3 linked regions of the Arabidopsis thaliana genome follow. The protein of the gene in region 3 interacts with the protein of the main gene of each other region in a pairwise test. Each region holds a gene or a part of one and is shown on either strand. Other genes may lie near its edges.

Region 1 (5,859 bases), on a different chromosome or scaffold from region 3:
CAATGTAGATGAACAATCAATCAAACTCAAAAGTGATCTTGTGGGAAACGCTTCAAAGGTTTCAGATTAATTCTCTTTGTTATTATTTATTCAATGTCTCTGTCTCTACACACAACATTTTTGTGTTTCTAATTGGTGATTTATGGGGTTTTTTTTCTCCAACAGGTGAAGGAGATAAGTAGAGAATTTGAATTGGTTGATGGAAAACTATCGTATGTGGTTCGTATGAGTACAACCACTAACCCTCTTCAACCACATCTCAAAGCAATACTCGATAAGCTTTGAATCCAAGTTCCTGTGAAATCGAAACCTGACACGACCGATGTGATATTGAGATGCTTTGATTTTGATATGTAGAATCACTCTGTTTAGTAACAACATTTGATACTCTTTGTAAGATTTTGGTTACCAAAGTGTTTTGTTATGTTTTGTTCTTGTAAGCACAAGTAAGAAGAAGATGACAATTTGAGAGTTAAATGGGCTTTTATTAAAAGAGGTAAATAGGCCCATTGGCGCCTATATACGTTCAATTTTAGCATCTGACGCCTCAATATTAATGATATTCTAATTGACTACAATAGCTTTCAATAATTACAAGATTGTCCCCATATTTATTTTCTTTTTATACTATTGCATACACATTTTAGAAATTATGAGATGAGCACCGAAGTTATTATCGAAGCAAAGTCAACAAATTGAAGTAAGATTAATTCTCTACAATTATATAAGATTTGGTTTAATAATTGTAAGATGCAATCTTATAAACTTAATTAGACATACGTAATCACATATAACAACAGAAATTTTAATACAAAAAAAAAAATAAAAGACGGAAAAGAAAACAAAAGAAAGAAAATCATATAGATGTGAAGCAGACACGTTTAGGCCACGGCAATGACAAAACGTGGCACCTTGTAATTCTCTTAAGCTCCATAATTTTGGCTTATTGTATTAAATAGTTCCATATGGTGTTTCTTATTTTTTTTTGGCCTATTTGGCTTTTTATGTGGTGTTGACAATTATAACTTGATCCCTAAGCAATATCTACTTTGGATATAATACAAATGGAGCAAAAACACAACACTTTCATTTTTGAAGAAAATTATGTAAGGTGATTGTGTGTTTATTAGTAGTCCCAATCTAATAGAGAGAAATTAAATTCTAGGAGTGATCATTTTCTAGGATAGTTAAAACTTATGGATGACTTTCATATGAGTTTAGATCTGGATTTTGGTGGGGGGACATAAGAAATATAGATGCATATGTAAGTGTACACAAATGAATGGGCCACTTGACACCTAATGATACAAATTTTCAAAGAAAACTCAGATTGCAATAATGGAAGCATATCAATAGTAGTATGAGATCTCAATCTACAATCTTCAATAACATTTAAAAAATAAAATCCAACAACAACTGTAGCGTATAGGAATTGTTCATCTCTTTTCATCAAAGAATATTTAAAATTTTGTTAGACAAGAATTAATTAATGATTTATATGGTTGAGAAAACTTTTTAAAAAGTTGTAAAACTCATCGAATAATAAATCATTTTTAATGGAAAATATAGTTTTTATTTTTATTGTGTGGTATTGCTCGGACTCAAGGATACATGGAGAGAGAGGCAGAGTCAAATCCAATTTTTCAACTATCTTATATGATATTCTTCTGTGCTTTTTATAGTTTGCCCGACCATAAGAACTGGTCCTAACTTTCATTTTTTTTGTTTCCATAGAATATGTATTCCTATGATTTTTTTTTATAGAATTAATTGTGTTAGTTAATGCCAAATTAAGATTCTCTTTTTTAAAATCACTTTTTGAAGAAGCACTTACAAGAGAGTTGTGTTAAGAATAGATTCCAGATGGAAAAGTTGGCAAGAAAAGATGTTTTAAGTTTTTGCCTTGTCGTCTAATCCAACGGTCGATCTTCGTTCATATCAAGAATCCTTATGACGTGGACCATTCTCTTCCCTCCATCTGTACCTCTTCCCAACCTCTATTTTTTAATTTACATCGAAAATAAATAAGAAGGATTGCAAAAGAAAAAATAGAAAAAAAACTCTCTGTTCTTCTTTCTTCTTCTTCTTCGTCGTAAGCCATTACCATTTCTTCTCCCTCTCTCTGTTTTTCTTTGTTGCGTATCTGTACTTAGTTTTCAAACATAAAAATAAAACATATCTTTAGCTGATGTTGTCTTCTTCTTGATAAACAGATTTTCTACAGCTTTTTTTCTTTCTAATTTAATAATTCTTGAGACTTTTTAAAACCCTCTGCGAAACAGATGATTCGAGTTTTGGTTTCTTCATCTGTGTTTTGATTTTTTCGTCTTTTATTCTTAGTCAAACACATAAATTTCTTTTACTACTCTTCGTAGATGACTTCTCATGTTCCAAAACATCCTCGTAAATGTACTCTTTCTCTCTTTCTTTCCTACACACACGTGTTTAATCTGTGTTGTTCTTACACGTCTTTTTAACTTTTGCGTTTGACCTTTTATCTGAATCCTGTGTTTGTGTGTCTGTAAATATATATATGTGTGTCTATGTGTATAGTGCTCTGTTTCTTGTGATTAGACTCATATGTCTTATTTTCAATATTAACTATAAATATATAAGTCACGCCTAGTTATTAGTTTTTATCGGTACGACTAAATATTCAGACATCAGTTCACGTTTCAAACCTGTCTCTTCACATAGTTAAGAAAATAAAGGCATCAAAAAGATTACTAGTAATGTTTGTGTCTACTTTATACATACATATGTCTTGTTTCTTTGTGTTTTTCAGAATCTGATCTCTTCGGGAACGTTTGTTTAATTTGTTTCAGCCTTTGAAGATATGGTGAAGAATCTTAAAGTGGATCCTCTTGCTAAGGTCACTGCCTCCACCACTTCCATGGTAATAAAGATTCTCTCTTCTCTGTTTATTACAGATGATTCATATGTTTTGGTTCTTAGGATGATTTATCAGTTATGTGTTTTTGTGTTCCTTTTGTTTTGCAACATTAAAGGTTTCTGCAAAAGAGAATAAGAATCAGTCAGAGGCAGAGCCATCATATTATGAAACTCTTGAGACATATCAAGGCCTGCCTTGTCCTTATGGTGGCTACTATGGATACTACTATCCAGGTTTTGCTTCTTTTTACACACTGATACTATATAATATGTACTCAATTCTGCTTTTAGATGATCATAATCTGAATTAGCGTGTTTTTACAGGTCTTGATGGTTCAGTTGGAGAAGCAAAGGATAATGGATACTATGGTTATGGAACAGAAGTTCAGTACCCGGTAATCAAAACTTCCTTGTCATGAAGAGAATGAATTACTCACTCGGGTGACTCGATCTTTTTAACTGACCATTTTCTTGATCTTGATTTTAAGGTAATGCAAGGGGAAAATGGGTCTGTGATCTACTTGATGCCAGGGTTTCAGTCTTATGATGCAAGCCAAACTTATATGCCTATAAACCCGGTTGGTGTATCGAGTCAAGCACTTCATTCGCCGATGTATGCTGCTCAGGGTTATTATCAGAACCAATTTGGTTATGCAGATGTTTCATCGCCCACATATTTATGGGACCCTGTTGGAGACAGGTATGTGTATGGTGTTGCTTCATATACCCCACCCTTGAAACAGAACATATCTTCTTCAAGTCATAACCACAACAATTATTATTCAAAGAGCAAGAACTCCTTCACGGGTCACGGCATGGGAGATCGTCCTAAAACACCGCGAAAAGTAACATTTACACTCTTTAATTCTTCTCTCTTTCACATTACCTGAAGAGGTTTGACTCATCTTTTTTTCTTTGTATTGATGCTATAGGCATCACAGAACAGCTATGCCCCACCCCCACTGCTTAACCAAGAAAAAGGTCGCATTGCTTACCCGATGGACCCAGTAAAGAAAAAGTCTGGAGCTTTAAATCGGGATGAAACAGAGAAGGCGAAAGCGAGGACAAAAGAAAATGGTACAAGTATGAATGACTTAGCAAACGGTCAAGATCATATTACCAATGGAGAATGTGAGTCATGTTCGTTGGATGCTGAAGGGAATGAAAGAAGCAACGGTGTTGGTTCTGTGATCAGAAGGGATCAATATAACCTCCCTAGCTTTCAGACCAAATACGAGGAAGCAATCTTTTTTGTGATAAAATCGTATAGCGAAGACGACATACACAAGAGCATCAAGTACAATGTCTGGTCTAGTACTCTCAATGGGAACAAGAAGTTAGACAGTGCATATCAAGAATCTCAGAAGAAGGCTGCAGACAAAAGTGGAAAGTGCCCGGTTTTCCTGTTCTTCTCGGTATGCTATTAGGATTTTTCGCTATATACGTATTCAGTTTTGCGACGTCTTCATGGTCTCTGATCGATTTTATTGGATTCAGGTGAATGCAAGTGGCCAATTCTGCGGTGTAGCTGAGATGATTGGACGAGTTGATTATGAGAAAAGCATGGAGTTCTGGCAACAAGATAAGTGGACTGGCTATTTTCCGGTGAAGTGGCACATCATCAAAGATGTTCCAAATCCGCAACTACGACATATCATACTAGAGAACAATGAGAACAAGCCTGTAACCAATAGCAGAGACACACAAGAGGTAACATTAGTTCCTTAATAGGCTTAAGGAAGTGAATCATTATCAAGAGCTAATCTCATCTCATACTGTTTAAACATTGTCCTTCATATATAGGTGAGGTTGCCTCAAGGGAATGAAGTGTTGAACATCTTTAAGAACTACGCAGCTAAGACATCTATTTTAGATGATTTTGATTTTTATGAAAACAGAGAGAAGGTTATGGTACAGAAGAAGCTAAGGTTCCCTCCGGTATTAAAGGTCCTTAGTATTCTCCTCTTTATATCTCTCAATCATGCTCTTTTTGTTCTATGTATTGTATTCTAACGAGAATGATCTTATGTCTATGATAACAGAAGAAAGAAGAAGACTTGGTTGCTGATTTTAAAACAATGGAGATGTCTAATACAGTCGAAGAGGGAAACACAGAGTTAACCGGGACAGTGAGCTAACTAGAAGAACATGTAGTGTTTTTGGTTTGGTTTTTTAAGGATCAATATAAACCGTCCGATTGTTTCGGATTGCTTTGATTTTATTACAAGCGAGATGGCTTCTTCTTCTATTGTTTCGTTGTATGGTGTAATGTTGGGTTTTTTCTTCACTTTTTTTTTTTGGTTTTGTGTTGTGTTTATGATATGTTTTGCAATTTGTAATCATTGGCAAAAATGATAGGTTTGATTTTATAGTGATATAAGAAAACCGGGATACAAAAAGAAAAGAGGTTTAGACATAAAATGAGTTTCTCTACCGTTATTAATTCTCTCTTCAAGGAGCCTCCTTGGATAAGTCTAATTGTTCAACCATACCCACTAAAAATCATGGTGGGCTCGGGGATTGTCCACGTCCACCACGTGGGGCTCGACCACCACGAGGCAACAATCGGCCTCCTCCTCGAAGGTTTACAGTTCGACCACGAGCTCCTCTGGTGGCTGGATTAGGAGCTCGACTTACTACTATATTGGCTATTCTTTCTCGTCTTTTCATCTGTGCTCTATCAGCTAGTGTCACAATAGTTGAACTTCCACCACCTGGTGACGGTGCTCTTTTTGGATCTTCTGTTTCTGGAGCTCCGCTTGAAGTAATAGCAGAAGCTAGAGTAGAGGAAGTTGTTGGAGCGGTAGAAACAGGGGAGGTTGTAGCTGCTGAGGTCTCTGGCTTGATGTCAGTTTCTGGTGCTTCTTGTTGATCATTAGCATTGTTAGGTATATCAGCGGCTTCTTCAGCTGCATCACCTCCTTCGTCGGTCTTATCATCTTCAACCGGCGTCTCAATGGTTGTTTC
Region 2 (3,302 bases), on a different chromosome or scaffold from region 3:
CCTCGAGTTCACCTTTCATGTAACCATATAAGCATTGCTCAAACTACTTGACACTAATCTGGTTTTGGGTTTTGCTGCTAGGTCTCACTGAACCTTTGAAGATCATGACGAAAAAAGGATCGTCTCTTGTTTTTTTCTTAATTTTCAGCTTCATATGTCGAAATAAAGAGAACTGTGAAGAAGACGTGAATTGTTTTTGTACACAACTTTGTAAGACTTGCTGCTTCTGTTTTAAGTTACTACTTGTGTGTTGCACTTCCTGATCATGTTGTTATTTTGCTGTCAACAAATTAATTTGAAATAAAACGCATTGCGAGATTCGTGTTTTTAGATCCAGCCTCCAATGATACGAATTACAAAGAAACACTAGAAATTAGTTATATTCGCTGTGTTAAGTATACAAATTAACACTTACGAAACTGAATTTGTTAATGGTTTTTATAACTATATCTGAAAACCAAAAAAAATATGCAAAATCATCAAATTGAAAATGTCTATTCTAGCAACATGAATTGTGAATAAATAAACAAACATCTATAATTCAAATTTTACTTGAATAACAATTTCATTTTGACTCTATTTTTGGTGAAGACAAAAAGTGTGCCTTCAACTTCAAGTCTTTAATCCAAGTAGCCAGTTTAGGAAACGGGTAAAAAAATAAATTATATAGAATAAAAGAATTTGATGTTGCAAACTTGAAAATAAGTTTACAAATCAATCTATTTAATGTTAACTAAACATGTCCGCTTGAAGCAAAACCTAACCGATCCGGACATATCATATATTATCTAGTTGGTGAGAATATTAAGAAGTGAAACTCTCGTCTGAATCAATCGCCGGAAAATAGATTCCAACTCTATTTCAAGCTCCACTACAGTAATCTCCGCCGCCTCCAACCTCGTAGTCGCGCTTTGCACCGCAGTCTCGTCCCATTCATCATCTAACAAATAGGAAGACCGAATGGAAAAGATCGAAGACAAAGACCCTTTGCTCGATCTCTTCTCTAGCCAAGGAATACAACCAAGTGAGAACAAAGACTCAACCATCGTCACAACGACTCTTCTCACTTCCTTCAAAACTTCTGTGACAAACAGAAGGTTCTGTTCTATTGGCATGGCCACTCTTCCTTCGTTTCCTTTCATGTTCTTCAAACAGTTTAAGCATTTCAGTGTCTCCTTCTTGAGCTTGTTCTTATACCGATTATACGCAGCTATCTTCTCGTTGACATCAGATGATTCGTTGCCACGTAGAGTCAGTTGTAGATCTTGCAAGCTGTGTTTCACGAGCGTCATCACATCTTTGGATACGTTACAGATGTCTAACATCCTCAATGAAGCTTCTGAAACTTGTTCCGTCCATTTCTCTTGTCCTTGTTGAGACAGAGATTCTCTTGTTTTCGGACAGTGATGGAGGAGATAGTTTACGCAGTCGTGTAGCTCTCTCAAACCCTCAAAGTTAATCTGAGCCATAGATAGATCTTAATCTATTCGAGATACTTAGCTTTATGAATGTAAAAAAAGAATTTGAAAAGGTATTTTTTGATGTAATTGTGAATGGTTTTTAGGGCTTCTTGAGAGTTTTAAGCGAAGATTAGAGATATATTGAATGTGTGTAAGAATGAGATTATATATAGAGGTTAAGAAGGATCTGAGGGAAAGTACGATGAAGGTTCCCAAGTTTGGGTTTTTGTACGGACGTGGGACATCCGGGGAACAGCTCATTTTGGAGGTATTATCAAAACAATGATTTAAATGATTCAAAACATGTCACAAGGAACCTTCTTTGTACGTAAGAGGCACTCGTGGATTAGGGTACATTGTGGATTCGTTTAGATTTTCAATTTATAATATATAGTTTTAAAGATTTTTATTCTAATATATAGTCTTAAGGTTTAATTATATACTATATACCATGCATGCACGAGCGACGGTGCCAGGCTGTGTTGGTAAATTGCAACAATTTGGAACAGACGGACGAATATTAAATGAGATGAGAAATGTTTAGATTTTGGATCAGACTTTAAATATTATGTTAAGGGTTTGTCAGATATGTTTTATGTATCAAGTTAAATGGATATATTAATTACCAACAAGAAAGTAATATAAGTCTTACAGTAACAGAAAACAAATAATGGTAACTACTTGATCAATATGAATATATGATCAATAATCATTTTAAAACCGGAACTTATCTTTGGCAATACATGCGATTGTGACATTGTGTTACGTGTTAACCTCTCAATATATGTTTCTGGACAAGCGAAATATTCACAGTTTCACACAAATACCAATATACCTTTTCTATAACGTGGACAGTAATAATACGCATACATTAATACATATATGTTTATATGTCTAATTTCTCTATCAATCAGGTAACCACCTCGACGGCTCGACGCATGAATACATCCTGGATTAGATTTTATGTTTAAGATCTTTATATCTCAGGTTATTTTCAACAAATTAATATCTTCCCACAAATTATATAATTAGATTCATATCCCTCCAACTCCAAATGCTGAAATGCTTTCATTTTTATTATGTTGTTAGTGCAGCAATCTTATTATTCGATTTCCCGTTTGGAAGGTATAGCTACTAATTATAACGAATAATCAACCATGCATTATATTTTCTCTGTTGTCATCATCATGTAGAGACATTATTGCGTGATTAAAAAAAGAGAAATAAGAAGACATTATTGCGTGATTATAAAAACACACAGAGAAAATAAGACATTATTGCGTAATTTCTTTAGCTATTTTTTTTGCAAACAACCCATCAAACATAAAATAAAGCCCATGAAACTCAATTAATAAGCCCATTATCTCAAATTCATCCTTACTCTGTTTTGCAACAACTTCTGATAAGAAAACTGATACACTCATCAGTCTCATGATTGTATAACTATAAACTTATGAAATATTCATAGAGTACTGAAGTGATCTGCTGATAATTGTTATCTCGAACTCGTATTCTTGACAAGTAATCGTTTGAATATGATTTAAGAACGCTGCACACAAAGTTTTACAAGTTCTAAAGATCAATATGATCTGAGAGACTTTGCCTAAACTAAAGCCAACAATACTTCACAATGAACAAAATTACATCTATACAATCTCAAAGAGTAAGCATGTTAAGAAAAGAAACTCTTGTCTTCAACAGTTTCTTATACACACACTCCAACTCTTTCTCTGTTTCTTCAATCTCATGTTCTGTTTCTCTCAACTTCTTCAGCTCATCCACATCAACTTCTTGATTCTTCTTATTAAAAATCCTCGACACAATTCCTCTCCTTGATCCTTT
Region 3 (3,384 bases):
ATAGATGTCCCACGTATCATTAGATATCGCACTTTTACCGCAGGTAGACTGTAGTACATTCAAAGCTGTAGTACAACATTTATTCCTCACCCTCCTTTTTTGTTTTCTTTTGCTCCGACGTATCACGTTTATTGGGTCGTTTACTTTCTTATATTCCTTGTTTCCTCAAAACGTGAGTGCCGACAAAAGAAAAGAAAATATCAAAATCAAAATGTGATGAGTTCGACTGAAATATCTCTTCAAGTGAGTAACTAGCTCAAAGTAAGACCGGTTCGCTCACACTTTTTTGTAGCAATCAAGATGGTATGTTTCACATTTTTTGGACCATTTTGGAATTTGCATGTTTGGACGATCACTCGGACCGTAATTTCCAACCGTCCTTGCCGTGAAATCTCACAACATGCGTCCAATATAGGTGGGAACCGCACCGACGATACGCATTAAATACTTACAAAATTTTCCTTCATTAATTATTTTTAAGCAACAAGCTTGAAATTTAGCATCACAAATGCGTCAAGAACAAACAAAAGAAAGATGCATTTTTTACAAAAATTCTTAAATAAAAAACTATTTAAAAAACAACCAAAAACAAAGAAGGCATAAGAACAAAAACGACATAAATATATGTTAAACCATTAGAAATCTAATTAGTTCTGAATCCATATTTTATCATTGGAGGACATATCATGTGTAATGTTCGTGCCCATAGTGACTAAAGTTGATCTAACGGTGTCAAAGGCACAAAGCGGCCTTAACGTCGAGCCTCCAAGCAAAACCACCACCGACGTCCATTCTCCACACGTCGCAAGGCACCGTGACTGAGCCTCTCTCACGATTTTGACACGTGTACTGGAGTTTCATTCTGCATGTGAATCCAGGGGACGTTAGCATCGGCCTCTCCCTCATCACCAACCGTACGATCACGTGAAAACTATCGCCGCTAGTTATCTCCGGTGCACCTTCTTCCACGGGAATAATATCCCTAGCCATCTTCCGATACGCGTCATTAGTCCACGTGACTCTCCCTGAACCGTCGGATATGAAACCAGGACACGTGTCTCTCACAAGATTCATCTTCCTTTCTTCATCTGACCTCCCTAAACCGTAACCGTCAATCCAAGCGTCCGTTACACGCTCCACCGTCATACACGACGAAATCACCACCGTCCTCTGCACAATCTCCGGTGTCTGATAAGCCGGTGTGAGCATCCCTCCGCCGTCTTTGAAACTCAACCATAACGGACCCTGCCGCTTCTGCTTCTCCACCGCCGCCTTAAGATCTATAGGTTTCTCCGGTAATAGAGAAAGAGTCACCGCATTAGCACTGCCGTGAACGACGGGTTTATCCGACGTCTTCCGCCGGGTGCACCTCTTGGCGTTACCACCATTCTCCTTCAGCTGATGACATTTCCTCTTTCTTCTACTAGCTGATCTAAAGGAAACGTCGGAGCTTCCGCCGCCGCTATCTCCGCTGGATACGGGATTTACTCCGCCGGGGCTGGCCGGTTTAGGAGCAATGGGACGAAATCGAAGCATGATGCGATCTGCTTTGGAAAGATCGTACGGTCCAGAGCCAATGGCGTACCTAGCTATGCAACACCCTCCCCTACCGTCCATTTTTTCTCGCTATCTATATCACTCTTGATATTTTTGTGTAAAGAATGTTTGAGAATTAGGTAAAAGCTTTACTTGAGCTGAGGAATACACTGAACAGAAATGGTAAGGGTTTTATAACGTCTGTGATCTGGACACGTGTTGGAGTCTATACTAGTTGTGACATGGACACGTGTCTTTGCCTGCACGCTTGTGGTTGTGTTGGGTCTAGAAGACAGTAGTAAAGGGTTTGGGTTGCACATGGAAAGTTATTCTCTCTTTTTGTTTTTTTGCCTAAGTTATTCTCCCAACTCTAACCATTAATTTTACCGTTCAGTAAAAAGAACTGTAACTTTATATATTAGTGTAGGAGAAAAAAAAGTTTGGTCTATGCTATGACAGGAGTGATAGTTCTTGTTGCAAGAAGAAAACATAGTTCTTGTTGAAGATTATGTATTTTGGGTCGAGTTTTTTTTTTGGTTAACTTCACATAAATCTATGCATATAATCTTTTTGATTATTTTTACCACTAACCCTCAACTCATTGCTTCGTTTTGGGGCAACGTCAAAAAAATGTTAGGCAAAAAGATAAAAAGGTATAATTTGGTTAAAATTAGTGACAACATCCCTATACAATTGTGAACGAACTAATAAGATTCTTGGACTTTCGTATATTTCCCAACCACACTCTTAAAACTAATCCATATACTATAAATTTAAGAATAACACAGTTTTTTTATTTAAGTTTTTTTTTTGTTATTTGCCAATCAAGTACTAATACAACCATATATAGAGTGGATCACTGGTCAGTAATTAGTTCCAAAATTTGCAAATTAATCTCCACTTACGAAGCGATTTACTGATGTAACAATAGTGAAGAGATGGCAAAATCAAGTTAAAATATCTGACAACAAAAATGGTTTTTATACGCACGAGTCACACGACTCAAAAGGTGATGAGTCGATCGATTATAATTATAATCATTGACCAAGTCTAAATTTAAAGCGAATGGCATCTTAATTAAATTTAAAGTGATTGTGACAAATTAGATCTGAAAGGGGACAAGATGATCTCATGCGTAAATGAACTTAAAGATTTGGTGACAAAAATAAAGATTAGTGCCAATGGAGTTAGGTAATCGTTATTGAAATATCAAGAAGGAATATTGATTAATCAAATATACTCCTATTGTACCTATCTATAGTAAATGATTATAACAAGTATAATCATCTATATCTGGTTTATAGGTGTTTCCTTAATTTAGCTATTAATATTAGAGGAATTCTTATGGACAAAACTTGGATACATTCATAATACATATATAAATTTTACTTGAGCTTCTGCTTCGAGATCTTCTTTTGAGGATAGACATATTCAAACAATAACGGATTTGACAAATAACAGTTATAGTTTGACCAGTAAATGAGTTTAATGGCTATTAGCGACTTGATATATATGTTTTACGAGTTCGAATCTAATTTTTGCAAATGGGAACAAAGAAAAAATTTAGGCCAGTGGACCTATGCCAAACAAAGAGTTTGATTGTGTAACTTTGTTTTCTCAAGAGATGGTAATTAGTTTCAATCTTCTATATGCGTCAGATACATATTACTGTCCAAACCATTTTAAATTTCTGATGAGCTAAAAACATTCTCAAAAAGACATTATTCAATCTGTTTGAAGTCTATTTTTTTGGGTAGAATAATAAACATCTCATAAGAGTTCAAACCAAAATCTTAGTCTCCAAAGATTTTTTGTTATCCGTCGGCTTAGTTTCTAGGATTATCTTGT

What was found.
Region 1: the proteins of AT3G48510 (region 3) and ECT8 interact in a two-hybrid assay, tested with the Arabidopsis thaliana proteins (one large-scale study listed by BioGRID).
Region 2: the proteins of AT3G48510 (region 3) and AT1G76210 interact in a two-hybrid assay, tested with the Arabidopsis thaliana proteins (one large-scale study listed by BioGRID).

Annotation. Positions count from the first base shown.
Region 1 is NC_003070.9:29,813,782-29,819,640, forward strand, and holds ECT8 (evolutionarily conserved C-terminal region 8), read left to right. Parts: upstream 1-1,688; 5' UTR 1,689-2,375; coding exon 2,376-2,409; exon of another isoform or gene 2,410-2,734; intron 2,735-2,825; coding exon 2,826-2,896; intron 2,897-3,008; coding exon 3,009-3,126; intron 3,127-3,216; coding exon 3,217-3,287; intron 3,288-3,380; coding exon 3,381-3,737; intron 3,738-3,824; coding exon 3,825-4,307; intron 4,308-4,389; coding exon 4,390-4,602; intron 4,603-4,695; coding exon 4,696-4,839; intron 4,840-4,934; coding exon 4,935-5,030; 3' UTR 5,031-5,323; downstream 5,324-5,859. Other genes in the region: AT1G79260 (nitrobindin heme-binding domain protein), read left to right, coding at 1-58, 166-285; NUA (nuclear pore anchor), read right to left, coding at 5,395-5,859.
Region 2 is NC_003070.9:28,594,414-28,597,715, forward strand, and holds AT1G76210 (DUF241 domain protein, putative (DUF241)), read right to left. Parts: upstream 1,584-3,302; 5' UTR 1,470-1,583; coding exon 789-1,469; 3' UTR 537-788; downstream 1-536. Other genes in the region: AT1G76220 (hypothetical protein (DUF241)), read right to left, coding at 3,117-3,302.
Region 3 is NC_003074.8:17,966,836-17,970,219, forward strand, and holds AT3G48510 (AtIII18x5-like protein), read right to left. Parts: upstream 1,756-3,384; 5' UTR 1,618-1,755; coding exon 733-1,617; 3' UTR 519-732; downstream 1-518.